Linked DNA regions of Cricetulus griseus. The protein of the gene in region 3 purifies or fractionates together with the protein of the main gene of each other region. This does not show direct contact. Links are inferred from orthologs where the notes say so. Each region holds a gene or a part of one and is shown on either strand. Other genes may lie near its edges.

What was found.
Region 1: the proteins of Gdi2 (region 3) and Rab8a purify together in Homo sapiens (co-immunoprecipitation; 5 studies listed by BioGRID and IntAct, with this or other methods). This does not show direct contact. The link is inferred for Cricetulus griseus from reciprocal best matches to the Homo sapiens genes GDI2 and RAB8A.
Region 2: the proteins of Gdi2 (region 3) and Rab5a purify together in Homo sapiens (affinity purification with mass spectrometry; 3 studies listed by BioGRID and IntAct, counting the BioPlex papers as one, with this or other methods). This does not show direct contact. The link is inferred for Cricetulus griseus from reciprocal best matches to the Homo sapiens genes GDI2 and RAB5A.
Region 4: the proteins of Gdi2 (region 3) and Rab1a purify together in Homo sapiens (affinity purification with mass spectrometry; 6 studies listed by BioGRID and IntAct, counting the BioPlex papers as one, with this or other methods). This does not show direct contact. The link is inferred for Cricetulus griseus from reciprocal best matches to the Homo sapiens genes GDI2 and RAB1A.
Region 5: the proteins of Gdi2 (region 3) and Rab10 purify together in Homo sapiens (co-immunoprecipitation; 3 studies listed by BioGRID and IntAct, with this or other methods). This does not show direct contact. The link is inferred for Cricetulus griseus from reciprocal best matches to the Homo sapiens genes GDI2 and RAB10.
Region 6: the proteins of Gdi2 (region 3) and Rab24 purify together in Homo sapiens (affinity purification with mass spectrometry; 3 studies listed by BioGRID and IntAct, with this or other methods). This does not show direct contact. The link is inferred for Cricetulus griseus from reciprocal best matches to the Homo sapiens genes GDI2 and RAB24.
Region 7: the proteins of Gdi2 (region 3) and Rab7a purify together in Homo sapiens (affinity purification with mass spectrometry; 3 studies listed by BioGRID and IntAct, with this or other methods). This does not show direct contact. The link is inferred for Cricetulus griseus from reciprocal best matches to the Homo sapiens genes GDI2 and RAB7A.

What each region holds. Positions count from the first base shown.
Region 1 is NW_023276806.1:246,924,205-246,928,252, reverse strand, and holds the start of Rab8a (ras-related protein Rab-8A), read right to left. Parts: upstream 2,801-4,048; 5' UTR 2,765-2,800; coding exon 2,641-2,764; intron 1-2,640. UniProt on the Homo sapiens protein: The small GTPases Rab are key regulators of intracellular membrane trafficking, from the formation of transport vesicles to their fusion with membranes.
Region 2 is NW_023276806.1:249,770,615-249,774,711, forward strand, and holds the end of Rab5a (ras-related protein Rab-5A), read right to left. Parts: intron 1,863-4,097; coding exon 1,747-1,862; 3' UTR 501-1,746; downstream 1-500. Other genes in the region: Pp2d1 (protein phosphatase 2C-like domain-containing protein 1), read left to right, coding at 1-318. UniProt on the Homo sapiens protein: The small GTPases Rab are key regulators of intracellular membrane trafficking, from the formation of transport vesicles to their fusion with membranes.
Region 3 is NC_048596.1:228,629,340-228,632,839, reverse strand, and holds part of Gdi2 (rab GDP dissociation inhibitor beta), read right to left. Parts: intron 3,284-3,500; coding exon 3,184-3,283; intron 881-3,183; coding exon 746-880; intron 1-745. UniProt on the Homo sapiens protein: GDP-dissociation inhibitor preventing the GDP to GTP exchange of most Rab proteins. By keeping these small GTPases in their inactive GDP-bound form regulates intracellular membrane trafficking.
Region 4 is NW_023276807.1:86,287,706-86,291,759, reverse strand, and holds the start of Rab1a (ras-related protein Rab-1A), read left to right. Parts: upstream 1-1,254; 5' UTR 1,255-1,463; coding exon 1,464-1,486; intron 1,487-4,054. UniProt on the Homo sapiens protein: The small GTPases Rab are key regulators of intracellular membrane trafficking, from the formation of transport vesicles to their fusion with membranes.
Region 5 is NC_048600.1:14,240,577-14,244,748, forward strand, and holds the start of Rab10 (ras-related protein Rab-10), read right to left. Parts: upstream 2,801-4,172; 5' UTR 2,261-2,800; coding exon 2,134-2,260; intron 1-2,133. UniProt on the Homo sapiens protein: The small GTPases Rab are key regulators of intracellular membrane trafficking, from the formation of transport vesicles to their fusion with membranes.
Region 6 is NC_048596.1:274,309,615-274,313,520, reverse strand, and holds Rab24 (ras-related protein Rab-24), read left to right. Parts: upstream 1-1,313; 5' UTR 1,314-1,595; coding exon 1,596-1,712; intron 1,713-1,794; coding exon 1,795-1,863; intron 1,864-2,065; coding exon 2,066-2,144; intron 2,145-2,250; coding exon 2,251-2,318; intron 2,319-2,399; coding exon 2,400-2,499; intron 2,500-2,690; coding exon 2,691-2,741; intron 2,742-2,873; coding exon 2,874-2,936; intron 2,937-3,050; coding exon 3,051-3,115; 3' UTR 3,116-3,406; downstream 3,407-3,906. Other genes in the region: Prelid1 (PRELI domain-containing protein 1, mitochondrial), read right to left, coding at 321-546, 995-1,086.
Region 7 is NC_048601.1:55,318,992-55,322,078, reverse strand, and holds part of Rab7a (ras-related protein Rab-7a), read right to left. Parts: exon of another isoform or gene 3,021-3,087; coding exon 2,892-3,020; exon of another isoform or gene 2,626-2,891; intron 1-2,625.

The DNA.
Region 1 (4,048 bases), on a different chromosome or scaffold from region 3:
GGTTCAAGTGCTACCTTTACCTCACTGTAAAGGAGGGCTGTCTCCCAGGGACCCCGAAGGACTAAGTTGGTTTTCTGATCAAGAGTTTCAAACCATCCAGATGGATATGATCAGTGGTCAGATATGTGGTTAACCTGGGCTCCATATCCAGTACTTCAAAAAGAAAAACTGGAGAAACACACGTGAGATGTAAAACAAGAGCCTACAAGAAACCTCATCAGGTAAAGGTGCTTGCCACTAAGCCTGATGATGTGAGTTCAATTCCTGGGGCCCACTTGGTGAAAGGAAAAAAACTAACTCCCACAAGTTGTCTCCTGACTTTGGCATATATGCACACACACAAAATAAATGTAACAAAACCAGTGGAGCAGGATGGCTCATATCTGTAATTCCAGCATTTGGGAAACAGGGGCAGGCAGATTTCCAAGAGTTCCAGGACAGCATGGTTTACACAGTGAATTCTAGGCCAGCCTGTTTCAAACAAACAAACAAACAAACAAACAAACAAACAAACAAACAAGGGCTAGGGACATGTTTGATCCCTCGAACCCATATAAAAATACCTGGGCATGGTGGTATCAACTTACAATCCCAGCACTGGTGACACAGAGAAAGAAGGGTCCTAGGGCTAGCTCCAGGTTCAGTGAGCTCCAGGTTCAGTGAGAGACTCAGCAAAGATGGCTTGGTGGGTAAAGGTACTTGCCCATAAGCCTGGCAGCCTGAGATCAGTCCCAATGATCCACATGGTGGAAGGAAAGAACAGACTCCCACAGATTGTCCTCTGACCCCCACATGTGCACCAGCATGCACCTACCTTCCGAATAAAATAATTAAAAAAAAAGAAAAAAGAAAAAGCAGCAGCAAGGAGAGTGACTGATCTGGTTGTTGACAACCAGTTCACTCTGGTGTCAACCTCTAGCCTCCAGCCCTCATATATATGCATGAGTATGCAAGAGCACACACACACACACACACACACACACACACAATAAAGCAAGCAAGCAAACAAACAGAAAACCACCCTGAACTAATACGTTGGTGACTAGGAAGTGTCTGAGGCCGGGAAACTGAGGTCTGTGTTGAGAGCAAGCCAGAGCCTGTGGGCAGCTATTGTCATTTCCTGCTTGGTCCTCACCTAAGGGTGACTCCAAAGCTGGATGTTTTGGGGGGGGGAGGGGAGAAGCTTCAGATGCACCTGTGTCCAGGGGTGTCTAAACCCTCCGCTTCCCCCAGATGGACCTCTTCACTCGTTGTATAGAGCTAACCCTCAACCACCCCGGGCACCAGCCAAGACAGACAGTGCCACATCTGCTCTAAACCAAATCACATAAGAAAGGTCAGAGCCTGTTCAAGGATGAACAGCACCTGGAGTCCAGGTATAATTTTCTGTACTTGACACCTGACTGTTTTAGAGTGCCCACCAGGAAGGAGAGTTCCGATGACATTAGCACACAATGGTCCGGTCAGGGAGACAATACAGCTTAGTTGACATTACACAGAAATCATTCCCTATGTTTTCCTTTTCTTTCTGAGCCAGGACTCATGTAGCTCAACCTGGCCTTGAACAGTCTATGTAACCAAGGATGACCCGAACTCCTGATCCACCTGCCTCCACCTACCTAGTGCTGTCATTACAGCTATTTACCAGCACACCTGGTTTCAGGATGCTGGGGATGGACCCCAGGACTGCACCAACTGAACAACAGCTTGGCCTGGGATAAACCAGGCCTAGGCACCATTCTCTTGTTCCAGGGCCATACAGCATGCAGACCACCCTGTTTGACAGGAGTTACTTCCAGGTCCAAGGTCTGTGCCATTTTTGACATCAGGACTTTGTCAATCACAAGCCAATTCTGTTCAACTGCACCGTGAGGCAGCCCTGGGGGAAAGCTGTTCAGGAAGTGACAGGTGGTGTCCTGTCAAGGCTGCACGTGGCCGTGGCCGATCTTAGTTTCTCACAGGAACTTTTTTCTCACATCTCCACCAGGGTGACAGGTACTAGCACCACTCCTCAGGCAGAGGGCAGCAGGACTTTGGGTTGGAGTCCTGACTTAAAGGTTAATTGATGGTGCTGGCCCTGTGAGGGTATAAGGCGGCACCTCTCTGGGACAGCTAGGCCTCGAATTTGGGAGTCAGATACACATGGGTTCAAATCTCAACCCTGACACCTGTAGACTGACCTTCAGTGCGTGCCACACCCTCCCTCAGTTTCAAATTCCTCCTTCAGCGACACAACACCCAACCCGAGAGCACTACAGTATTTGATAGTGCACAGGCCGAACCTGGCACATAGGGAATGATGCACGAGGTCAGGTGTCACTTCCATGCCTCAGTTTCCACTTCTGTAAGACGGGGATCTCTCCCAAAATTACCGTCTCGAGGGCTGCTGTGAGGACAGAGAGTTGACAGGCTCCAGGACCCCAGCCCAGGGCAGCCTCTCCCTCAGACAGCAGCCTGAGTGTTCCCGTCTGCACCTCGTTCGCGGCGTCCCCTCGAGGAGACGGAGGCCGCTGCGGTCCTCCGTCAGGGCCCACGACCCTCCCGGATCCTCGGCCCGGGTGGATACCGAGCCGATCCCTCAGCCCAGCCCCACAGGGGCGCGCCCAGCCCCGGTCCCCGGCCGCCCCGAGGCGCCGCTACCTATGGTGGAGATGAACGTGGAGTTGAAGGCGTCCTCGGAGAAGCGGAACAGGACACAGGTCTTCCCCACCCCCGAGTCCCCGATCAGCAGCAGCTTGAACAGGTAATCGTAGGTCTTCGCCATATTACACTCTCTCCCCGACGGGAAGTCCGGCCGGCGCCTCGCCACTGGCCGCTAGACCCGTCCATCATCTCAGATCCCGCCCCCTATTGGACCTCGGCCCGCCGCGCGTCACCGAGGCCGACGCCCGCCCTCCGGAGCCCCGCCCGTCGCAGGGAGCTCAGGGCAAAGAGACGAATCCGGCGCAGAGCCGGAAGCAGCCGCACCGCGCCGCTCATTGGCTGGCCCTTGGGGTAGCGAGATTTGTGATTGGCTAGAGATGGAGAGTCGGAGTGGGGGGGCTTCAAATGAACGGCGGTGGGCGTGGCTATGCCCTGGCCCCACCTTCTCATTCCCCGCCCCTGACGGGAGGGACCCCAACAATTCCGCGCGCTAGGGGCGGCGAGGGACGGACGGGCTTGGTGAAAATGCGCATGCGTGCTGGAAGACGGTTGGCTCCAGCAGAGGGCGCACGCGCGCGGAGGACGCCTCAGCTTTCCCGCCTTCGCAGCCCGCGCAGTCGCATTTAGGCACTGCGGCGAAGCGCGGGAAGTGCATGAGTCACTGCGCTCACTCCCTTGTGGAGGTTTTTCGGCCGAGGCCTCCGGGCTCGCCCCAGTGAGCCCGCCACGCGAGGCCCTGAGGCGTGCCATCCCAGAGGCCGTAGCGGGGGCAGGCGCTGGTAGGACAGTGGCAGATCAGTGTAATGGCAGTGTTTGTTCTGTGCCCGCCGGAAATGCAGGCTCCTTCACCCCACACCAGCGGCTGAGTATGCTGACGCTATAGGTGAGGTGACTTTCCCAGGCTTTACAGTGGCACTTCCTTCCCTTCTGGGTTTTTGTTTTTGTTTTTTTCGAGAAAGTGTTTCTCTGTGTAGCTTTGGAGGCTGTCCTGAAACTTGCTCTGTAGACCAGGCTGGCCTCGAACTCACAGAGATGCGCCTGCCTCTGCCTTCTGAGTGCTGGGTGTAGGGAAAAAGGGCCAGCCAGAGAAACACACTTTGGCCCTGCAATAAGTGCCAAAGAAACACACTTTGGCCCTGGAATCAGAGTCAGTGAAAGAAATATACCTTGGTTCTAAAACTAGAGCCAAAAGCTAAAAGAACTTGTGAAAGAAACACACTTTGTCCCTAGAATCAGAGCCCGTGAAAGAAATACACCCTGGTCCTAAAACAAGAGCCAAAAGGCTAAAAAGACCAGTGAAAGAAACACTTTGGCCCTGAAACCAGAGCCAAATCTGACCACAAGCCTGTGCAGAAAACTAAGCAATCCCTGAGCAGGAGATCTAGCCAATCTGAGTTCAGGGATT
Region 2 (4,097 bases), on a different chromosome or scaffold from region 3:
TCAACTACTAATCTAACAAAAAGGTCATCTGATTCAGTATTTTCTCAAGCTTGCATTAATCAGGCTAAAAATGCAGAAACATTTCCTCCAGAAATGACTAATTATGACACTCACAGCAAGAAAGAAACTAACAGCCCACGCACTATAGACAGTAAGACGGGAAGCGAGAAAGAACTATATGCTAAGAATTTCTATGAAGGTGCAGCTGAGTACATTGGCCATGAACTAGTAAGGGCTGCTTTAGAAGGTGGTTCCAGAGAGAGCATCACTGTTATGGTAGTGTTTCTCAATGGGAGTGAGTATCAGCTGCTGACATAAAAACATTCCAAAGACCCAGAGCAGCAAACAGCACCACAAAGACTTCAGTACACCAGATTCTAGGACAGATCATGACTCTAGACAATGATTCTTAACAGGAAGAAAATACAAAAGCGTTTGGTTATATACAATAAATGTGTTATGCTCACTACTTTATGTTAAAGAGAAAGAAAACTCAAGTGTTGCTTTTTATACCACTTTATTCCAACCTGAGCACCTCAATATAAAACTAAACCCTGGTGAACTGTTTTCCTTACTAATTTTGAGTTATTGTAAAATGTACAAGTTCTGCTAGCAGATTGACACTTAAACAGATTAAATCATCTGACACATGGTAGATTTCATATAATGGAAATACCTAAAATAATTAGTGCAACATACTGATCAAAATAAAATGGACTTTGAAAAACAAGGTTTCAAGATTATTACTAATAACATTGTAATACTTATGTTACAAATTGTAGGTACAGTGTTTATTATGGTTCTAGCCATGTAAGAACAGCAAAGCCCCTTCCTTTCATAGGGGGAATAAAGAAATAATTAGCTGTTTTAGTAACTGTACATTTTGTATACGCTTAGGCAATTCTTAAATATTACAGAAAATAATAAACATGGAGACTACAATGCAGTACTCTATTTACAGTACAGCTGAAGATCATATTTAAAATCAAGTTTGAATGTACATAATTGTTAGTGCACTGACCAATCATGTCCAAAAGGAACCAGAGCTCCCTCCCTGCTCCAGACAGACCTCTATGTAATGGCCAACAGTGATTAAAGAGAAATCAGACACCTGGTTTGTTTCCACTTTGTTGAAGAGCTCACACGAAGGGACCACTATCCATTAAAATGCATTCATCAGTTTTTATATTCCTAAAACAAGATGGGGTTACACATGACTTCTTTTCACTCAAATTTTAGGACTGAGTAAAATGTCACTAATATTCATTCTTTCTGGAGATGTAGGACTGTTTTCTTAGGATTATTTTATTAATATGTGGAATGTACACTTTTTAGCCAATAGGAGAAATTACCACTTGCTTGTCTTCTGTTGCTAAGCATAAATATTTTTAGTCTTCTAAAAATGTTTTCCTAAAGCTCACATTAGTAATTATGAATCTTTCACACCTGACTATTATCTCAGGTTGGAGACTGGGTGGGTTAAGTGTGGATCTACCCCCGATGGAGACGAATGGTTCCCCTGCACTTTCCCACAAACAAATTGTACACGGTTCCTTTTCCCTTTCTACTGCCGAAACATTAGTTGGAAGAACACATGCATGTTATTAAAAATTAAGCTCAAAACACTCAAAATAATTCAGTATTAGAAACTTGATTCTACCATAAGTCTCTTTTTGGAAGTCACATTGGGCCGGCTAAATGCTCCCACACCACGATTTTTTCCATTTAGGAAGTTCACACTGGAGTTCAGTTACTACAACACTGGCTTCTGGCTGGCTGTGCAGGCTCAGTAAGGTCTACTCCTCGTCCTCTGGCAGAGTTTGCACCTGGATTCTGTGGTTCATTCTTTGGCAGCTTTTTAGCTAAGAAAGAAATGACCAAAATAAAATTATAATATTAATGTTAAAATCACTTAGACCTACTTATTTATAATACTCTTTCTCCAAAGTTTTATGTGACTGACTTGTTTGCTCCTTTCAAATGTTTATTATCTACTAAATGCCAGAAAGTAAAGCCAAACACCAATAATCCCAAAGAACACATCACTGGTTGTTGTACTAAAGGAGTTTAATTTCTTAGTGTTTGTGAAGGAATAGGTAGAGGCCAATTGTAGGCATATCATTTAAACTTAAATTTAATTAGAACTATACACAATTTTTATATCATTCCCCACAGAAATAACATATTTTACTTAATTATTAATAGTTTGTGTCATATTGGTTCAGAGCAAAGTAGGCAACTCTACTACCACTTAGCTACACTCAGACTATTTAATCATTAAATTTTTATTATATACAATCTGCTGGACATGGTGGGACATAACTGCAATCCCATGATTCACTCTGGAGAATGAATTGGTACACTCACTTGAGCCCAGGAAGGAAGTTAAAACTAGCCTGAGAAGCATATCACAACTCCATTTTGAAAAGTAAAACAGATAAAAATCCAGCCAATGGATCATGGCCAGCTATAAAGTATATAAAGAAGCTCACATTATATCAACATTCTCTGGGTTGTCCCAAATAATTCTGAGAATGAGTCAGGATATAAGCACATTCTATCAACATAACCACCACACCAACCCAACCAAACTAGTCCATTACTGTGCAACCTAATCAGCAAACCCAATTATATGACATACAGCATCCACTTCTTTCCTGGCTTCCACACCCTTCAAACATCTAAGTTTTCCCCTCTTGGGTTATGAGAACCTCAATCTGATTTACAAACAGTGACACTTACTATACACAAATAGCTTTGTGAGTTCTATACAACTAATAGTGGTTTGGTAGTGCTCCCCACCAAAAATTCACCTGCTAGATCCATGGCTTAATCCTGTGGACAAAGCAGCAATATTCCTGAGTAGTACTGCACTATCCAATCCTACCTGGAATCCTGGACCTTTTTGTTTGATTTGTGCTAGGAACCTGGGCTTGCACGTTACACACATTAACAACTACCACTAAGCCACACAACCTCATCCTGCATTTTTTAAACTGCATTTCCCCCCTACTTTGCTGTATCATTTATCTTTAGCCTCTCAGATGCTAGAAGCAGGTCCAGTGAGCACTGATACTGATGTTTGGAAAGACAGCTTCCACTGGGCCACCCTAGGAATGACTCTAGAGCTGGTACCATAAAGTACAATAAAGATAAATGTTCAGTCAGATGTATTTACAAGCAATGCCCAGAAAGTGGATTAATAATGGTACTAGGAACACAGAATAAGTTAGCACTGTAGCCTGTATTATAGTAAATACTGAATTGGGTTTTGGAATGTATATAATTTCTCCTTATAGTTTACTCCTCTAAGGACTTTCTTTAACCACATCTGACTGAGATTAGGAGGAAGGAAGTAAACAGCAACAAGGACTGTTTCTGTTCACTGGACTGATTTGAGATGCTAACTTTATCAAGGAAAGACCACAGTTCCATTTACACTGGAGATTTCTTTAAAGAAGGGAAAGAATTTAATTTGAATCAAAATCTGCCAGTGAGGAATAGAATCAGGCTTCAGAAATGCAACACAAGCACTGTACCACAGAGCTACTTGCCCAGCCTACAAGTCTTAAGATTAAGTCTAAAGTGTAGCTTCGATGGGAATGGTGGGTCCATCCTGTAATCCCAGCACTTGGGAACTGAGGCAAGAGGATCTGGAGTTCCAGGCCAGCATTGGCTGTACAGTGAGACAATGTCTGACAAAAATACAACAGGTTCAGTTAATGAATGCTTGTTGTGTAACCAGTAAATTCTGAGTTTGGATCCTCAGCACCCATGTGAAAACATGAACATGTAACTCCAGCACTAGGGGTGGATCATATAGAGATAGAAAGATCTTGGGATTTTCAATGAGCTCAGAGTTCACTGAAAGACTCAGGCTCAAAACAATGGGATAGTAAGGTGATTCAGGAGGTGAAGCTGCTGGCTGCCAAGCTTTATGACGTCAGTTTCATATCTGGAACCTACATGGTATAAGGAGTAGACCTCCCTCCACATTTGTACTATGGCACACACACACAAAAGAAATGTTTAAAAATGGAAGATGGAGAAATAATGAAGGAGAACATCTTAATGTCAACTTCTCACTTCCATATATA
Region 3 (3,500 bases):
GAAGCTGACCGCCCTGTGGGTCACTTACTTTAATGAAACTTAAACAATCGGTGAGCTGCTCTACACACTTTTAAAAAAACAGCTATAAGCAGGGCTGGAGAGATGGCTCATCAGTTAGGAGAGCTTGCTGCTCTTGCAGAGGACCTGAGTTAGGGTCCCAGCACCCATATCAGGCAAATAATCACACACAATAAAAATAAAATATCTTTAAAAGAAACACACTGAGCTGGGTGGTGGTGGCACACACCTTTAATCCCGGCACCAGGGAGGTAGAGGCAGGTGGATTTCATTGAGTTTGAGGCAAGTCTGGTCTGCAAAGTGAGTTCCAGGACAGCCAGAGCTGTTACACAGAGAAACCCTGTCTTGAACACCAAAAAAAAAAAAAAAAAAAAAAGGGGGGGGGAATACATGGGACATTACCTTGTCTAAAAATATTAAATTAATATTTAAAAAAAAGCTGAGAGAGAGAGAGAGAGAGAGAGAGAGAGAGAGAGAGAGAGAGAATTAAATCCCAAGCTCTCTTGAGTCAGTACTCCTACTAATAGCATATAGCTGGTACTAAGAAAAAGCTAAGAAAACTTCTAGTTTCACATCCTTTCCCCTCCTCTCCTAAACAGAACAGAACATTAAGAAGGGCCTAAATGAGTGTCTGGCACTATAACTATCTGTTGACTAGACAAATAGGTTTCTGGGACTCCTTTTCACCATAAAAATCGTGTCATTCTGATAAATGAGAATTACTTACTAGATGCCAGTGCTTCTGCTTCAGTGGAAGGAACCTTGTAGATTTTCCCTCCCTTGTAGACAAAGCTCCCTTCAATCACTTTGAAATCCATATAGCGAGTGACCTCTGTGTAAAGTAACATCTTCACCAACTGACCTGAAAAAGTCATGTAATGCAAGCTGTCACTCAAACCTTACTACCAATAAAACTTAGCACCCAAAATTTTCCTAAAGAATTGTATAGCAATCCTTACCAAGAAGCCCCCAAAGCTGTGTTTTCAATGGTATGACTAGAAATTCACACCTTAAGCATACGTTTAAGCTTAATGTTACAACTTGTAGGCTAACAAAGGCCATGAAATATGTACTGGTGAGTGAATTGAGGCAACCTTGCAGTTCTGTATCAGTCACAGACAATTCCAAATATTTCAATTTCTAAGTCTACTTATATTTATTAAGAGTATATCAACATCAAATAGATTAAGGACTACAATTAGGAATCCCATCTGCCTATAAGACCAAGGAGGCTCACTTACCCAAATCAGCCAAAAGTTTTGTGAGACCAAAACCATTTTAAAGATGATTTGAAAGGATAACTACAACAGGGTAGTCACATCATTTTTGAAGTTAGGGCTGGGGGACATAACTTAGTGTAAAAACATTTATCTAGCATGTGTGAGACCCTGTATTCAAACTCCAGAACAACAACAAAAAAAATTAAGGAAATAAAGTATAAAGAGATTCTCATGCAGCAGAGATTAAAGTACACTGAAAAATTACATCAACTGGCCCCATTATTAAGCCTTGTGACCTTAAAAGACCAACGAATGTTTTATAAAGAAAAACACATGCAATAGAATTGTGCAGCAAAGTCCCTGTCTACAAAGGCTGCCCCTGTGTCTTCAGAGAGGTGATATCTATAAGGAGTTCATTGCAAGGAGAACACAACTTAATAGAAAATAAGTCAATTCACCAATAAACAGGAAAGCTGGTCAATAACTAAAACTCATTCCACCCTCTAATGGACAGATTTATGGTAAAAATTCAAATTTTACCTTACAATGGCAAATGGCAGAAACAAAAATGAATACTATCAAGGGCTGGTTGATAACGGTACTGGGAAAGGCAAAAGCCAAATGTGGTAATAAACAGAAAAAGCCTTCTGAAAAAGATCCATAATTCTTGCCGGGCGCACGCCTTTAATCCCAGCACTCGGGAGGCAGAGGCAGGCGGATCTCTGTGAGTCCGAGGCCAGCCTGATCTACAGAGCGAGTGCCAGGATAGGCTCCAAAGCTACACAGAGAAACTCTGTCTCAAAAAACAAAAACAAACAAACAAACAAAAATCCATAATTCTCTCCTAAGGGTACCCAATGCTATCTGTCATCAGTCACACACACTCCTTTCCTCCCTCTTACACCCCCTACACATACATTATACACTGGCTGAAAACTGCATGGGAACTGGGACTATGCATATGTGTATCTCAAACATCAAAATGTTAAGCACAATTAAATCTAAGGTTTTATCCCTAGCACTGCAAAGAAAAAAAAAAAATCCAGATAGTGGGATTCTGACTATGCAAATTTTGTTTCCTTCCTGCTTACTGTTAATGTTGCCTAGACTATACAAACTTGGATAATTTACAAGAATTCAATTATTTAAATTTAAAAGAACATTCAAACAATGTATCTATAATACAAACTATAAAATGTAACTCAAAAAAAGAAAAAGAATAACACATACTATATTTCATGGGAAATAAATTTGTAACAAAAAATTTAGTTTTTCCTTTGTTTTCTATTTTTCCAGACAGAGCCTCACACTGTGAGACATGGATGACTTAAAGTTTACTTGTAGCACAGGAAAGTCTCACATTATCAGCAATCTTCCTGCCTCAGCTTTCTGAGTACTGGGATTACAGGTGTAAACCACTGCACCTGGCTCATTTTTTAATACCATCTTAGAAAAAAATAGACACCACAGAAATTTTAAGATAGTTCAGTCCTCTAAAATCCTGAGAAATTAGGTGATCTCAACAGCTTACACACTAGAAAGCCTTTAAAAGACCATTTAAGACTCAGGCTCCCAAAGTCTCTCGAAGGTACTTACAATGTTATTATATTTAGAATTTTTGTTTGTACTACACCACACCAGATTTGCAACAAATGTTTCTAACTGTGTGAAATGTCTATAGTTTCTTACATACATATATAATATATACTACAAAATCTTCAATTTTAACATGCACTGTGTCACATCATGCTTTTGTTTCTTTTCAGAGCTATTTTCTATACCTCCTTCCCTCCATTCTTAATTAGACTCCAGACACTTTTAATGAAACATATTACTAAACATACTATTGACATCAACCAATTCCCCAGGGCCTCAGACCTGGGATAATGTTCTCTACTTCCAACCCAGATTCCATACAGTCATAAATAATGCTAGCATTCTTTACCATTGGCCATAAGGAACTTGGGAATTAAGTCAACATTCCAGTCTCTTCCTCTCCCCATTGATGCTGGTGGTTGTCCTGGTAACTTAAATCTTTTGTATAACTAAAAGTAGAAAAAAAAATACCTATAATGTAACGAGAGGCTGAGGTATAATACAACTATAAGAGGTAAAACACAAATCATTTTATTTTTAATCAGATAAAACTTTTATCTGTCAAGTAAACTTTTAGTCAGATAAGACTTTCAAGTCTCAATATATTATGTAATTAAATACAGTATGTAACTCGTGAATGCTAAGATACACAAGCATTGCAGAAGT
Region 4 (4,054 bases), on a different chromosome or scaffold from region 3:
TTAGTCAACATTTAAATTCCTGAGCTGATTAAAGTTAAGAGCATAAGGTCTAAAAATGTATTAATATTAGTTCTGGAGTCTGTAGTGAAGAATTGCATGGCTTGAAAAAAAAAATCACTTGTTGTCGGGCTTTGGTAGCGCACGCCTTTAATCCCAGCACTAGGAAAGCAGAGACAGGAGGATCTCTGTGAGTTCGAGGCCAGCGTGGTCTCCAGAGCGAGTCCCAGGATAAGCTCCAAAGCTACGCAGAGAAACCCTGTCTCGAAAAACCAAAAAAACAAAAAGAAAGAAAAAAATTACTTGTTACTGCCCAATTTTGCAGAACGATACAGAATTAAGTACTAACTAATAAAACAAACAAAAACAACAGCAGACCTGAAAAAACAAAAACAAAACCCCCAACAATTCAACTTTATAAGTCTAGGCCTCAAGTAGGCAGACTGGTTTAGGCTGACTCTAGCCTGTGTCTCAACCACACAATGCGGAGCCTTTGAAGGTTGGGAGGTCATGATGGAGTCGCAGTTTCAGAAAGATAAATCTGGCTGTATGTGCAAGTGGACTGGGGTGGGGGGCGGCAGAAAAGAGACAAAAGCAGGGTCCATTTGCAGCTACTGCAATGTCAGGTTGCTAAAGTAAAATGGTTTTTAAAAAATGAGAAAAGAACGGATCGGGTGAATAAGAAGCGCAAGATCCACAGAGGCGGCTTGACTTTCCTTCTGTTCTTAGAGCTGTCCGGAGGCTCGTGTGGATGGCCCCCAGGGTCGCGCCAGAGCAGGGAGGTGGTCCTCATACCTCCCTTCCAGCCCCAATGGCCCCTCCTCACTCTGTCCTGGAGTCCCCAGGAGCCCCCACCCCCTCGGATGCGGCACCGCCCTCCGCCGGGTTCCTTCCCCTCCCCTTCCCGTGGGGCGCCGACTCGCCCAGCTGCCACGTCTCACTGATGACATCAACACAGCCCGCTCGGCCTTAGCCAATCCGCTAGGGGGAGTCCGAGCGAAGTCCTAGCCAGCAAGCCAGAGGGGAGGGGAGCAGGAAGGGCGGGGTGTGGGGTGAGGGAATCGGGACGGGGCGGACGACAAGCTCGCAGGTGCGCACGCGTGCGGGGCGCGGGGCCTGGTGGGAAGCTGAGTGCAAGCTGTCCTCGGCCCCGTCAGGCTGGCCAGCGTGCGGTGCGCTCACGACTCTATTTCCCGGCGTGCCGCGCGACGCGGCCGCCCTCTGGGCCGCGACAGGCCCCTTGGCCTAGGCTTCCCTAGTTCCTGGTTCGCCGGCGGCCATTTTGGGTGGAAGCGATCACTGAGTGGCGGCGGCTGCTGATTGTGTTCTAAGGGTCGGAGTGGGGTCGACGTTTGCTCTACCGGAACAGCTTAGCTCATTCCTTCCCTTCCATTACCCGTGGCGCGGAGAGTCGGGGCGGCGGCTGCGTCAGCAAGGGCGGTGGCGGCGGCGGCAGCTGCAGTGACATGTCCAGCATGAATCCCGAATAGTGAGTGCAGGAGAGCCGGGGCGGGCTGGGGGTGAGGGCGTCCGGCCGGGGGGTGAAGGCCACCGGGAGGCTCGCTGCGCGGCAGCGGGAAGGTCGGCCGGGCGAGCGAGGCGGAGCGGCCCCAGGGCCCCATTGTCTGACGGCCGAGGGCCGCGGCGGGGAGGGGTCGGGCCTCCGGGGCAGGGGCCGGGGAGCCGGCGGGGAGCTGTGTGCCGCGGCCGGGCGTTGGGGAATCGGCCTCGGACAGCGGCCAGGAGGGGCGCGTCTCTGGGAGGCAGTGACGGCTGGAGGAGGACTTGTTTTTAAGGGAGGTAGGTGGGAGAGCTCTGCTAGAGGGCACTGTCAGACCCTGCGCCGGCTCTGCGGAGCTGTCAGCCTCGGCAGCGAGGAAACCAGCTTTCCTTGTAAATCCTCAGCTTGTTACAGCTCTCTCCCCGGCGGGTTTCAGGTAATATGGATGTTTCTCGGGACTGCGTGGGTTGAGGAGATGGTGAGAAGGTATTTACAATGTTTAGTTTCCTTTTGGGCTTGTCTCCTGAGGAGTTCTTTAAAGAGTGTGAGCCATGGTCCTTCTACAATCCTGGGCATTTGTGAAATTTTTGTTTTAGAGGACACCTAAGTCTCCAAGTCACCTTTTGTTTTCAGTAGGTCAACAATAACAACAACTAAAATTAAAAATGTCTTCCTGGCACCGCCAACTTAAAGTACGAGTTTGCTCACAAATTGGAAAAGAGCTTTGATAGAGCTGTAGGTTTTAGATTACCTAGTTGAAAGCCTGTAGATAGGGAATGAGGTTCCATGACGTGTCATGAAAAGTTAATGCATTCCTTTTTCTTGCTTACTCAAGAAGTCACTATAGCAGATGTGACACACCTGGCACCTTTCATGGGAACTGGTGATCTCTTTTCTTGAGTAGACATTGTTGGGCTCTTTTGAACTGCACCTAAAATCCTCCTATACTTTTATATATGAAAGTTAACTTGAAGAGATGGCATTTTTGTTCTCTTTAGTGTCAGAAATCTTTAAGGGAGTGGATTTTTTTTTTTTTTTTTTGATAAGAGAAGCCAGCATAGCCTTAAAGCTGAATTTGTTGCTTGATCAATTACCGCTAAGTGTTTCCCCATGAAAGGTCTATCCATCAGTTTAGCTGACTTGTCATCATGTGTGTGTCACATGGCTCTTGCAAAATGCATTCTAAGTTCCAAGTTTTGTAAGACTGTGGTTTTATGCTGAGATGTTCTTTTTCATTTGTGCTAAGCAGAAGTCATAGTATCTTGGTAGAATTTTACATTAATTTTATTGTGTGTGTGTAATGCATGTGATTGCAGGTGCACAGGTGCCACAGTACTTGCGTGAAAAAGGTCAGGGAACAAATTTTAAGAGTTGGTTCCATCTTCCTTTGTGGTTTCTGAAGACTGAACTCAGACGAGCAGTCTAATCATAGAGCCATCTTACTGGTCCAGACTTTTGTACTTCTTTAAGAAGTTGGGAACAGTTCATACTTGCTGTGTTGGCAGCCCCTTCCCCAAGTCACCGACTCTGCAGGACAAAATTGGTTTAGTAGAGCAAAGTTGAATTGGGTTCCTAGTTAGTTTTCCTGGCATCCGTAAAGAACTTGGATTTAATCAGCCTGGTGTTGGACGGTGGCGTAGGCGGCGAGCACTCTGGAGGCAGAGGCAGGTGGATCTCTGTTAGTTTGAGACCAGCCTGGCCTACAGAGTGAGTTCCAGGACAGCCTCTAAAGCTACAGAGAAACCTTGTCTCGAAAAACCAAAAAACCAAAACCAAAACAACAACCCCCCCCATGGATTTACTAGACTAGGGAGGTTTGTAAACCTGTACTATTTGAGGAGTTTCCTATATTTGTTTTGTATGTATGTATGTATGTATGTATGTATGTATGTATTTGGTTTTTCGTTTTTCGAGACAGGGTTTCTCTGTGTAGCTTTGGAGCCGATCCTGGCACTGGCTCTGGAGACCAGGCTGGCCTCCAACTCACAGAGATCCGCCTGTCTCTGCCTCCCGAGTGCTGGGATTAAAGGCGTGCACCACCAACGCTCGGCAATTTTTTCTTTTTACAAAATTATAATTTCACATGTCAGTCCCTTCTCCCCCCCCAACTTCTCCCCCAGCCCCCTCCTCCCTCCACTCCCCATAGAGGGTAGGGCCCTCTACGGGCCTCCCCAAATTCCACAACATTCTCTGTGTAGCTTTGGAGCCTATCCTGGCACTCCTTCTGTAGACCAGGCTGGCCTCGAACTCACAGAGATCTGCCTGACTCTGCTTCCAGAGTGCTGGGATTAAGGTGTGCACCACCAACGTCCGGCTTTGTTACATATATTTAAATATTATTTATTTGTATGTGTGTGTTTGAGGTTAGAGCAGTGGTTCTTAACCTTCCTAATGCTATGACCCTTTAATACAATTCTTCATCTTGTGGTGGCCCCCAGCCATAAAATTATTTTTGTTGTCTCTTCATAACTGTACTACTGTTATAAATGGTAGGGTCTCGACCCCTAGATTGGGAACCACTGGGGTAGAGCCATTCCTTGGAGTTGGAGTTACAAA
Region 5 (4,172 bases), on a different chromosome or scaffold from region 3:
GTACCTGGCACCATTGCTAAAGACTTTGCTCTCAAAGACCTATAAAATCCTCACAAGCACCACACACAGTACTTGTACACAGTTTAATACTATTTAATACATTGTAGCCAAAGTTGTAGTTAGCAACCTGTGGAGCACGGATTCCAACACAACAGGCTACATGAGAAACAACCCATTCCCAAGTGAAAGAACAACAAAGACTACAGAATCAGGACTGGAGATGTAGCTCAGCAGCTTGCCTACCAAGCATGAGGCTAGTCGATTCCCACTACCTGAGTACAGGTAGCTAGGGAGCTGAGTGTCACCTTTCACAAGAAAGAAAGAAAGAGGGGAGGGAGGAGGGAGGGAGGGAGGAGGGAGGGAGGGAGAGAGAGAGAGAGAGAGAGAGAGAGAGAGAGAGAGAGAGAGGGAACAAGGGAGGGAGGCAGGGAGAAAAAACTTTGCTTCCTACTTTCCACCTCACCCTTCTCAATGGCAGGATTTACAAAACTGACCACACATTAAATTCTCTTTCAGAAAGGCTGTCTCCCCTCTGATCCAGTACTTGTCTTTCAGGCTTCATTTTAAACTATCCATGGAAAGCTACTCAGATTCCCCATAATTCAGACTAGTCCTTTCCTCCCTCTCCTCACTGTAGTGCTTTTCGCACTACTGTGACAGTCTTCTTCAGAATGGTCAAGGGGTCTATTGTATCCACCACTTATTCCCAATACCTTTAGCAGTGCCTAGCATTGGGTGCTCAATAAATATTTGCTGATCTAACCACCTGACTCACCCAGTTACACCTCAAAGCAAACTCAGTGCTAACCCACAAAGCAGAGGGCAAGTTTAAGTTTCATGAAATTCTGGCAATCCCTCCCACCAGTAAGATAAAACAAAACAACCTATTTTAACTAAAAACTTGTTCACTTTAATTTCAGTAAGCTTGTTTTATACAAATGAGTTTAAGTTATTGATAAATATGTGTCATAAAGAAATCCAAGCCGATTTCAATAATACTCTAAATTGGTTAAAATTAGTTTGATTTTTACAATTCTTAAGAGCTGAAAAACCACTAAGGCTGCTTCCCTAAATAATCTCATCATAAAATTTGTTACATTTATCGCAAGTTTTCCTGCACTGCCCTAATACTGAAGCTGATGTCCAAAACTGACAGACACAGGATACTTTCAAAAACTGGGGGCAAGGATGGGGGAGATGTATCATGCACAGCTTTTTGTTTGTTTGTTTGTTGACAAAATTAATGTTGGTGCCAGAGTCAAAACGACTTTCTTGGAACCTTCCCTTTTCATTTCCGAAACAGGAAACCCATTTAAAAAGGTCAACCCCCACCCCCTCAACTTTTACTTCTATACCAAGTAATTCCAAAATATGTGGTAAAAGTACATTAGAAGTCCTTAGGGCCATGACCGGCGAAACATTTTCCTGTAAATTCTAGTGTCAAGTAAAACACGAGAGCTTGACTTGATTCCATCGTGTGGAAGACAGAAACCGAACATCTCCCTCAGTCTATTATTTCTGTTGAGGTCTTGTAAAGGCACTGTGAGCCAATCGTGGCAGATTCCCACCCCAAGCACGAAGAGCCTCCAATTGTTTGACACATCAATGGTTTAGTCAAGACAGCCAACTCACCTCCCCCCCCCCGGCCCGGCCCCTCTCATTTTCTTTAATGATTCTGCAACTCTCAAGTTTACTCCAAGTTACAGCCAGACGGAATATTCTCTGTGACCCCAAATATAAATTTGGGCCTTTACCACATAGCCAGTAATGCTTCAGTCTCAACCACTAAAATATGCCTATTACAAGTATCACATCAAGTAAGTTCACTCGATTATGGAAAGGCCATTCAAGTCACTTAAAGAAACAGGATTCTGGAACGCTGCTAAATGCTGCATATTTTGTGCCAGCAGGCAACGAACAGAGAAGGAGACTTGAAAGCAAAGACCGGATGGAAAGCATGGGAAGACCCCGCCCCAGTAAGCGCTATTCCGATTCCAACAGTAACTCAGGTCTGTCGTCTGGAATCGGAATCACTGGAACAAAGGCGTAAATTCCGGGAAGCAAGATGTCTGGAATAAAAGAAAAAGGTTCGCGGCTACAGAGCCCCCCACATCATCTTCCCACAGGTCTTACCTATGGTGGAAATAAAGGTGGTATTGAAGGCATCATCCGAAAAACGAAAAAGGACGCAGGTCTTGCCCACTCCCGAGTCCCCGATCAGGAGCAGCTTGAAAAGCAGGTCGTACGTCTTCTTCGCCATTGGGAGGAGCGGCTCGGGCGCTCGCCGCCGGTAGCCCCAAGGGATCGGTGCTGCTCACTACGGCCAACTCCTCACCCGGGCGTTCTGGGGCCGCAGCAGCGGAGAAGCGTATGCCAGGGAGAAAGCAACTCTCGAGACCGAGCGGGAGACCTTCCGAACGGCCTCGTCGAGGAAGCCCCGACGGTGGCGGCGCCCGTGCCTCCGAGGGGCGGCGCCCGCGGCTCCGCAGCCTCTCCCAGCCGCTCCGCCCGGTTCCGGGGAGTCGGTCGGGACAAAATGGCCTCCCCTCCCCCCTCAGCGCGGCTCGGCCGGGACGCTCCCACGGACGAGCGAGCGAGCTCTACGTCGAGGGAGCGCGGCGGGCTTGAACACGGCCTCCGCCCGGAGCAGATACTCCGCGCTAGGACCCGGGCGAGGGCAGCGAAGGAGGTCTCGCGAGCCGACGAGCCCTGCTACATAACCCCAGGAAACCGAGCCGCCCCGGCCAGAGCCACCTTTTTCCCCGTGCCCTCTCACGCCGGCGTGCGCGCTGCCTGAGACGCACGCAAGGACGTACACCCGCCCTTCTCTCGCGCCCTCGCCCCTGCGGCCGGCTTCTGCGCACGCGCGCGGGAGGGCATGCAGGGCACGCGGAGGTGGGACTAGAGAGGGCGAGGCCGCGGGCGCGCTCCCTGCGGCCTTCTGATTGGGTGCGTGGCTTGACGAACACGCCCCACGGGGGGGCGAGGCCTGGGAACTGCGCCGGCGCACTACTGCCTTGAAGCCCTGCTCTCCCCCCCCCCCGCCTTTTCCGGGGCGCCCTGCTGATTGCTGGGATCTTCTGTTCCCCCTCAGTCTCTGGTTGTGGGGCGAAGGAAGTTGGCTGAGCGACGGGCGTGGGTGGCCACGCGCGCGTGTGTGTGTGTGTGTGGTGTGTGTTTCGTAGATGAGAGAAAGGAGTGTCCTGGGCCATTTAGTAAGAACCTCCTTACTAAAACTAGACGTCTCCAGAAGGGCCCTCGCTTGTGGGCCGGTCGTGACATCGCCGTGTTCTTAAGGAGCCAGAGTTCGAAGGATCTGGAATTCCAAATTGAAAGATCGCAGCACTCCTGGGATCGGGATGATGTCATCGGCCTGAGGAACACCGGGTGCGGGGAGAACCTCCCTGCAAATGGAAGCTTCGCTGCTCCAGGCCTAAATAGCCCTTGGAATCCCCTGGAGCCGGAACGCTCTAGACAGAGAAGGCGGACGGGGTCACTTTTGCCAAAGTTGTATCACTAAATCGAAAACCCGAAAGCTTGTCCCATCCCAACTTTTTCACTTGTTTGTAGGTTGGTTATTTTGTTACAAAGTCTGGCTACGTACCCCATGGTGGCCTCCAATTCATGATCTGCCAGTTGCAGCTCCCGAGTGCTTCTCTTGCGGGTTTGCACCGCCAAACCCGTGCCATGTCTTCTCATCTGCCTTACCCCCTTCTTTCCTCTCTCTGTGTTTTATTTATACTTCCCTTTTCTCATCTTCCGTTCTGTAGTTGAAATGGCTACATTTCTAACCTACCTTTCTCAGTAGGTTCCATCACTCCAGCACATGCAGAATGTGATGGTACAGTGGTTGAAACTGGTGAGCTGGTTAAACCATATAGAAATTTTTTTTTAAGAGAGGTTAAAGCTTCATTTTAACTCACCATCACCAAAATCTGCATTTCGTGTGTAACCTAAGCCTTTGGTCATGTTCTTTTGTGACCATCACAGTTGTGTTCATATTCTTAGACAGATTTTTCTTCCTTCTAAGCACCCCTAAAGCTTTGGAGACGTTGGCATTCTCTAAGCCATCTCCCTCCAGTTGATTCACTGATCGGTCTTAGTTTTATCATTAAGACATATCGTCCGAATCATTCTTCCTCCCAATGGGAATGTCTTAACCATAGCGGAAG
Region 6 (3,906 bases), about 46 Mb from region 3:
TTTTGTGCACAGCACTTGAAACAAGTTCTGCAAAGAGGTGTTCCCCCGTCATCTGAGAGCCAGTGGGCAGGCCCAGAGAGGCCGACCACCCGAAATGGGGCAACCTGAGGCCTAACTCTACAGAATTTGATCATCAGCATTTTTTTTTTTTTTTGAGGCTGTCCTGGAACTCAGTCTGTAGACCGGGCTGGCCTGCAACTCACAGAAATCCACCTGCCTTTGCCTCCCGAGTGCTGGGACTAAAGGCCTGCGCCACCAATGCCCGGCCTTTGCCTGTGATCTGAGGGGCAACCATTTTGAGGGACCGAAGGAGGCCTCACCATCAGCCGGGCGTGGTTGATGTTCCAGGTGAAGGTGGTCATGGTTTGCTTCTGTGGGTCCACAATCGAGTCCTCCAGGATGTACACCGAGTGGGCGACGTTGGCAGGAAACAGTCGCTCTGCCCAACGTGGCATCCTGTTGGTCTTGGTCAGGAGTCTCCGGGACAGAAGCTTCTGGTCAGGAGTCACCTCGCGGTGCACGATGTCTTCGGTTAAGACATGTTTGCTGCGGGCGTGGCAATGAGGAGGATTCTCAGAGGTCTGCTCGTGATCAGCTGTGATCCACAGGTTCGCATTTGGAGCCTCCGGGTCATGGCTTCCCGCAATCTTACTGAGAGCACACTGAACCTATCCCCGGGCAAATTCCACATCCTCCCTCCCTCCTCCCCTCCCCTCCCCTGACCTAGTTGTGAGGCTGTCCAGGCTCAGGGCTTGGACCACCTGAGAGCGCCGCGGGCAGGCGAGCAGGCCGGCGCCGGCCTTTCTCCACCCTGCCCGCCCGCCGCGGTTCCGGCCCGGACAGCGGCCTCCGAGGGCCTGGCAGGCCGGTGGCGGCCGCAGTGGGCACTCTGCGTTCTCACCGCGCCGCCGCCTTCCCTGCCGACACTCTGGGCCGGCCGCGGCGCCCACGTCCACACGCGGACAGGCGATGCTCGCCCGGCCCCGCCGCGTACCTGTAGGGGTTCGGGTACCGTTGCCAGAAGGCAGCGAACACTTGGTCCCAGGAGCTCCGGAGCACGCTCTGGCCCAGGAAATACTTCACCATCGTCCCGACCCGGGCGGGCTCAGCACCCGCGCAGCATCAGGGTGACGAGCCCGGGGGTGGGGGGCACGAGGCTCGGCGCACGCCCGCCAGGCTCGCAGCTCAGTCACCGCCGCGCCGCGCCCAGGTCCCTGCCGCCGCCATGGGGGGACTATAGGACTGCGCGACGCTTCCGGCGCCGGCCGGGCAGGATCGGCCACTTCCGGCGTCCGCGCCACGTGACCAGAAGTCCCGCCTCCTGCCGTCCAGTGCCGGAGGTTCGGGTCGCAGTCAGCGCCGGGGACCCGGGTCTCAGTCAGCAGCCCCGGCGGCGCGGAGCCTCGGTGCCCGCGGCGATCGCGCGGGGGAGCGGCCCAGGCTCCGGCGACGCGGCGGAGGGCGCTGTCCGCGTCCCCGCGCCGCGGGCCTGCGAGGGACGGAGCGCCCGGGCCGAGGCCCTTGGGGTTGGGGTCTGAGGCTCGGGCTCGGCCGGGGCCGCGCGGACCCCGCCGTGGCGAGGCGGCCCCGGGAGCATGAGCGGGCAGCGCGTGGACGTGAAGGTGGTGATGCTGGGCAAGGAGTACGTGGGCAAGACGAGCCTGGTGGAGCGATACGTGCACGACCGCTTCTTGGTGGGCCCCTATCAGAACGTGAGTCAACCCCTCCCTCCGCAGCAGGCGCGGGAAGAAGGGGGCCGGCCCCGCTCGACGCTTATCTCTCCCCTGGTTGCAGACCATCGGGGCTGCCTTCGTGGCCAAGGTGATGTGCGTCGGAGACCGGACGGTGACTCTGGGTATTTGGGTAAGTCCCTCGGGGATGCATACAGTCTTGAGCAAACGCATCCCCAGGTGTAATGTCTTGCCTTAAACTAGCCAACTGGAGCCCCATAGAGGGCGTTTTTCCTTCCCCACACCCATTAGCTTAAAAAAAAACGGGGGTCTGGAAGACGCGGGCCTAGTTCGTAGTCTTATGAAGGAGCTCATTAACTCCTTTCACCCGCCAGGACACAGCAGGATCTGAGCGCTACGAAGCCATGAGCAGGATCTATTACCGGGGTGCGAAAGCTGCCATTGTCTGTTATGGTAAGGGGTTGGATTCTGGCCTGTTCAAGTAAGGTTTGGGTTACAGGCCGGCATCCGAGGTTAACTACTGATTCTTGGTTGTGTCTCCCGTCTGATCCCTACCAAGACCTCACTGACAGCAGCAGCTTTGAGAGAGCCAAGTTCTGGGTGAAGGAGCTGCGCAGTTTAGAGGAGGTAGGTGGCCAGATCTTACAGGTCAGCGACAGGGACTCCCTTGGCCTGTGCAGATCATCTCAGCCTTGTCTTCTGCTACAGGGCTGTCAGATCTACCTGTGTGGCACTAAGAGCGACCTGCTGGAGGAAGACAGGCGGCGCCGTCGTGTAGACTTCCATGATGTCCAAGACTATGCAGATAGTAGCTGTTATAAAGTCTTTTGAGGGTGGGGGGCAGGGGGTGGGTGATACCTGCTTGAGCCATCACAAGGACAGAAGACTGACAGCCTTGGCTGCTCTCTGCCCTTCTTGACCCTATGGGATCCAGGACCCTGAACTGGTAGCTTTAGGTCTGAGCTTCAGGTATGAAGACTTAGTCACTTCTCTTTGCAGATATCAAAGCCCAGCTCTTTGAAACATCCAGCAAGACAGGCCAGAGTGTGGGTGAGTGTTGTCTTGAGGTCTGTCAGCAGGAGCAGGCAGGACACTGGAGGAAAAAAGTTCAGAGGGCTGGGTCACTCTCGGGGGTTCCCGGAGCTCTTGGCACCAGGACCTCACTGATGCTTTGCTTGCCAGACGAGCTCTTCCAGAAAGTGGCAGAGGATTACGTCAGTGTGGCTGCTTTCCAGGTGATGACAGGTGTGTACTTCCTACCCTTTAAGATTGCCTCTAGGCTCATGGTCTCTAGCCCTGTTGGGACTTACCTGTTCACCTGCCATGATGGCGCTGAGCAGCCACCTCTCTCTTTGACAGAGGACAAAGGTGTGGATCTGAGCCAGAAGGCAAACCCTTACTTCTACAGCTGTTGTCATCACTGAGTCACAACTCATCTGGCCTGGGAGAATTAAATGAATTCCCCAGAGGGGCTGGACCCAATTCTTGTCTGGGCTGGCATGGTCAAGTGTCTGAGCTACTCCAGGTGCCCATGACAGCAGAGGTGGCACCTGCCTGTGCTGGCCCATGGAACGGAGGCAGTACTGGGCAGACTGTGGGCATGAAGAGGGTTAAGGGCAGATTTGAATCCCAGGCTTCTATCCTGGACAGAACTTGTCACAGGTTATTTAAGTAGCTTCTGAACTGTAAATAAAATTGATGCACTGTGACTCACAGCCCCTTCCCTGCTGTGTGCACTGGGTGTCAAAACACCCGGTTGTTCCTGGGGCCACCTGCCTGGCCTCACTTCCTCTAAGACTGACCATTTGGAAACCAAGTAACTGTCACTGCGATCATGGAGGAGCAATGGGCTCTTACATCCCCACATCCATGTGCGTTTGTATGTGTATGTGCATGGAGAGCAAACCCTCAGGGCTTCTAACACAGGCAGAAGCTTTACCACTGAATGATACCAGTCACTTTGTTCTGTGGGGATGAAGACAGGCTTAGAAACTGGGATGGAGGAGTACAAAGCTCATGAGAGCAAGGAAAACACCTACTAAGTTGTGCCACAGATGAAAAGGCTTGGCCATCACCAATCTCAAGACAAGGTGGTTTGGCCAGCTCTACTTCTCGTGTCATGTCTAGACCTGTGGCTCTATGAGTCAGCCCCCAGCCTCCCTGGGACGCCTTGTAGTGTATTTAACAAGAGGCAGTCCATAGTTCTGCAAGTCAG
Region 7 (3,087 bases), on a different chromosome or scaffold from region 3:
CACAGGGCTTATCACTCTTGCTCCCTCAGCAAAGCAGCCCTGTTTGGACACAGCATGAAGACAGCCATCTGCATAACAGGAGAATCCCCTATCTGAAACCCAGTGAGTCAGCACCTTGGTCCCAGACTCTAAAATTGTGACAACAAAATAAAATGTCATATGTATAAGCTGTCCGATATGTGGTATTTTGTTATGGCCCACCCAAGTATTCCAACAAAAATCTCAACAGGCTTTCTCTTAGCTGGGAGAGAGTTGGAAGGTAGTTACAGGTAAGCAGAACCACATACTAAAGATAGTGAAATAGAGATGGTCCAGGTAAAGCAGTGGCCTCCAACATGTGGGCTGGGATCCCTTTTGGGGTCACACATCAGATATTTACAATTCGTGAAGCAGCAATGAAATACTTTTATGGTTGGGGGGGCAATGAAATACTTTTATGGTTGGGGGGTGTCACCACAATTTGAGGAACTATAATTAAAGGGCTGACGTAAAGGAACCCAGACACTGCCAAGACAGTCCAGGAATTCTGGAGGAAGAGCATGAGTGCTTTAACAACTGGTCACACTTCAAGGGGACAACAGCTATTTCCCAGCACTCACTCCCACTAGGAATGTGGGTTCTCAGGAGGGAAAAGTGACCAAAGCTGAGTTATACCCAGACCTTTAAAATGTATCTGACAGGAAGAGGACTTTTTCTTGTTGCTGAAGCTGGCCTTCAACTCCTGATCCTCCTGCCTCCACTTCCCAATGTTCTACCACATCTGGTCTCTACTTTCAATGCAGCCCAGGCAGTCCTGGATCTTGCCATCCTCCTCTCTTCTTATTTCAGCTCCCTAAGTGCTGAAATGCCAAGCAGACCCTACCACACCAGCTAAGAGCCCTTTTCCCCTAGGGCCAAAGTCTATCAAAAACAAGAGTTGGGAGATGGGACGGAAGATGGATGGAAGGTAGGCAGAGGTGTAGTATCTACTCACAAAGAGTTGATAAGGTCACTCTGGGCACATTCCCGAGGACCACCTGTGAAAGGACCATGTGTTGGTGTGGTCAGGACTCTTGGTGAGTCAGGGAACTAAAAAGCCCCATACTAAAGGTTTGGAGAATTCAAAAGGAGACCTAGGTTCCTCTTTCCAGGAAAGAGAAGATGAAATATTAAAAAGGATAACAAACCTCATGAGAAAGAGCAAGGGGTCAGCCAAGATTCTGTGCTGGCCATTCAAAGACCACTGTTGTGGGATATTTTGATAGCACTTACTGATTGGTTTGAGCTCTCTTGGTTCTGGAATAAGGGAAGAGACGTGTTTCTTAGGGTGTATCCAGCCAAAAAGGAAGGTCAGCTAGTTGCTACTCAACCTCTCTGAGCTAGCAGGTTTTCACCCCAGCCTTTGACTTCCTAGTCTTATTGGTAAATAGAATGATAGAGACTCAATTTAAAACTACTGGGGGGGGGGGCGCACTGACAGAGGGGCTGTGGGGTGGCATACAATGATGAGAGGCTCAGAGGGACAGTGCTATGAAGATGGCAACTGACAGAGCCAGCAGTTAAGTGTTGTGGTACCACCCACAGCTGGGGAGCTTCCCTAGGTGAACTACCCAGCCTCATCCAAACAGTGGGTCACCTCACAGAAAGAGGAGCGGCAGGTGGAGGGAGCCTGACAGTGGTGCCAGTCAACACAACAGAAACGGGAGACACTTCCATGTGTTTGGATTTCACATGGATACATGCATGCTAAGAAAAATCCAGGTGGGAGGGGAGATTGGGGTGGTGGTGGAGGACACCAGAAGAAAGCATATTTTTGGGGGGGGCTTTCTTGGCATTTGGATGAACTGTCCTACCTGGGTAGGCCCACCACTGTCATGAAGCACTTTGTATAGCCCCTCTAAGCCAGGACTCCCACCTCTGGAACAATTCATAGCAAATCTCTGCCACCCACACAGCCACTAGTTCTGGTCTGCTGGGAATCAATGCATTATCAACCCAGCTTCCTAGAGATGGGAGACCCTGTCTTGACTTTCAAATTACCACCTACCTCATGTATCACTGCAGACCCATGCTGTTTTCTATATCGTGCATGATGACACCTTGTGGCCTGCTTTAATTTTCCATGGCCCTCAAAAATGCTGGTAGCCCAAGCTTACATTTTTAAAAAACTTCCCCCATACTATAACAAGCCCCAGGATCTTGCATATGCTAAGCAAACTCTCTAGATTGGCCACACTTCCAGCACTACTATGTTGTCCTAGCTAGCCTTGAATTTGCCATGCTGTCTCAGCTTCCTCCCCTGGCACACAGTATCTTCTCTAGAGGAGGGTAGCTGAAAGCTCTGAGTTCCCTGACGGTTTTCTTTTTATTTCTTATTTGTGTATATAAGTAACTACTCTCAGGAAAGTGCCACTTCATGGTTTGAGAGCTGAGTCAGGGGACCACCATCACGCTACATATGGCCTTGCTTGAGGTGGGGGGCAGAAGCTCAGACACGGCTAGATGGCAGCTGGGATCTGACTGAAGTTCATCTCATTAACTAGAAGCATTGCTTGGCAAGAGGCCTCAGGTGGCTTGATCTCCTAAAAGTCCAGGAGCAAACAAGCCCACACCTCTTTCACCATGTGTCTGTTTTGTTCCCCCAAGGTCTTCCATGTCTGAGACCAGGCTGCCTGGAAGGCTCTGTATCTTAGGTAAGTGTTTTATCACCAAGCCATACCCTAGCTCTGCCCTGTCTTTTAGATGACTAACAAAGCTGTGATCTCCTAAGGACGGAGGCAGAATATGTTATGACCTACCCATCTGGAGAAGCACCTTACGTTTTCCCAGGTGCAGCTTGGGAAGAAAAACATCTAGGAAAGAACACAGGACATCACCAGAGTGTGCCTGCAGCTGCAGAGCCCTGCACCCACCTGTTTAAGGGCATTCCGAGCAATTGTCTGGAAGGCCTGCTCCACATTGATGGCTTCCTTGGCACTGGTCTCAAAGTAGGGAATGTTGTTTTTGCTGTAGCACCAAGCCTGTGCCCTCTTTGTGGCCACCTACAGGAGGGAGGACATTACTGCCATGAACAGCTCCAAGACAAGTACACTGGTGAGAACAGATCTG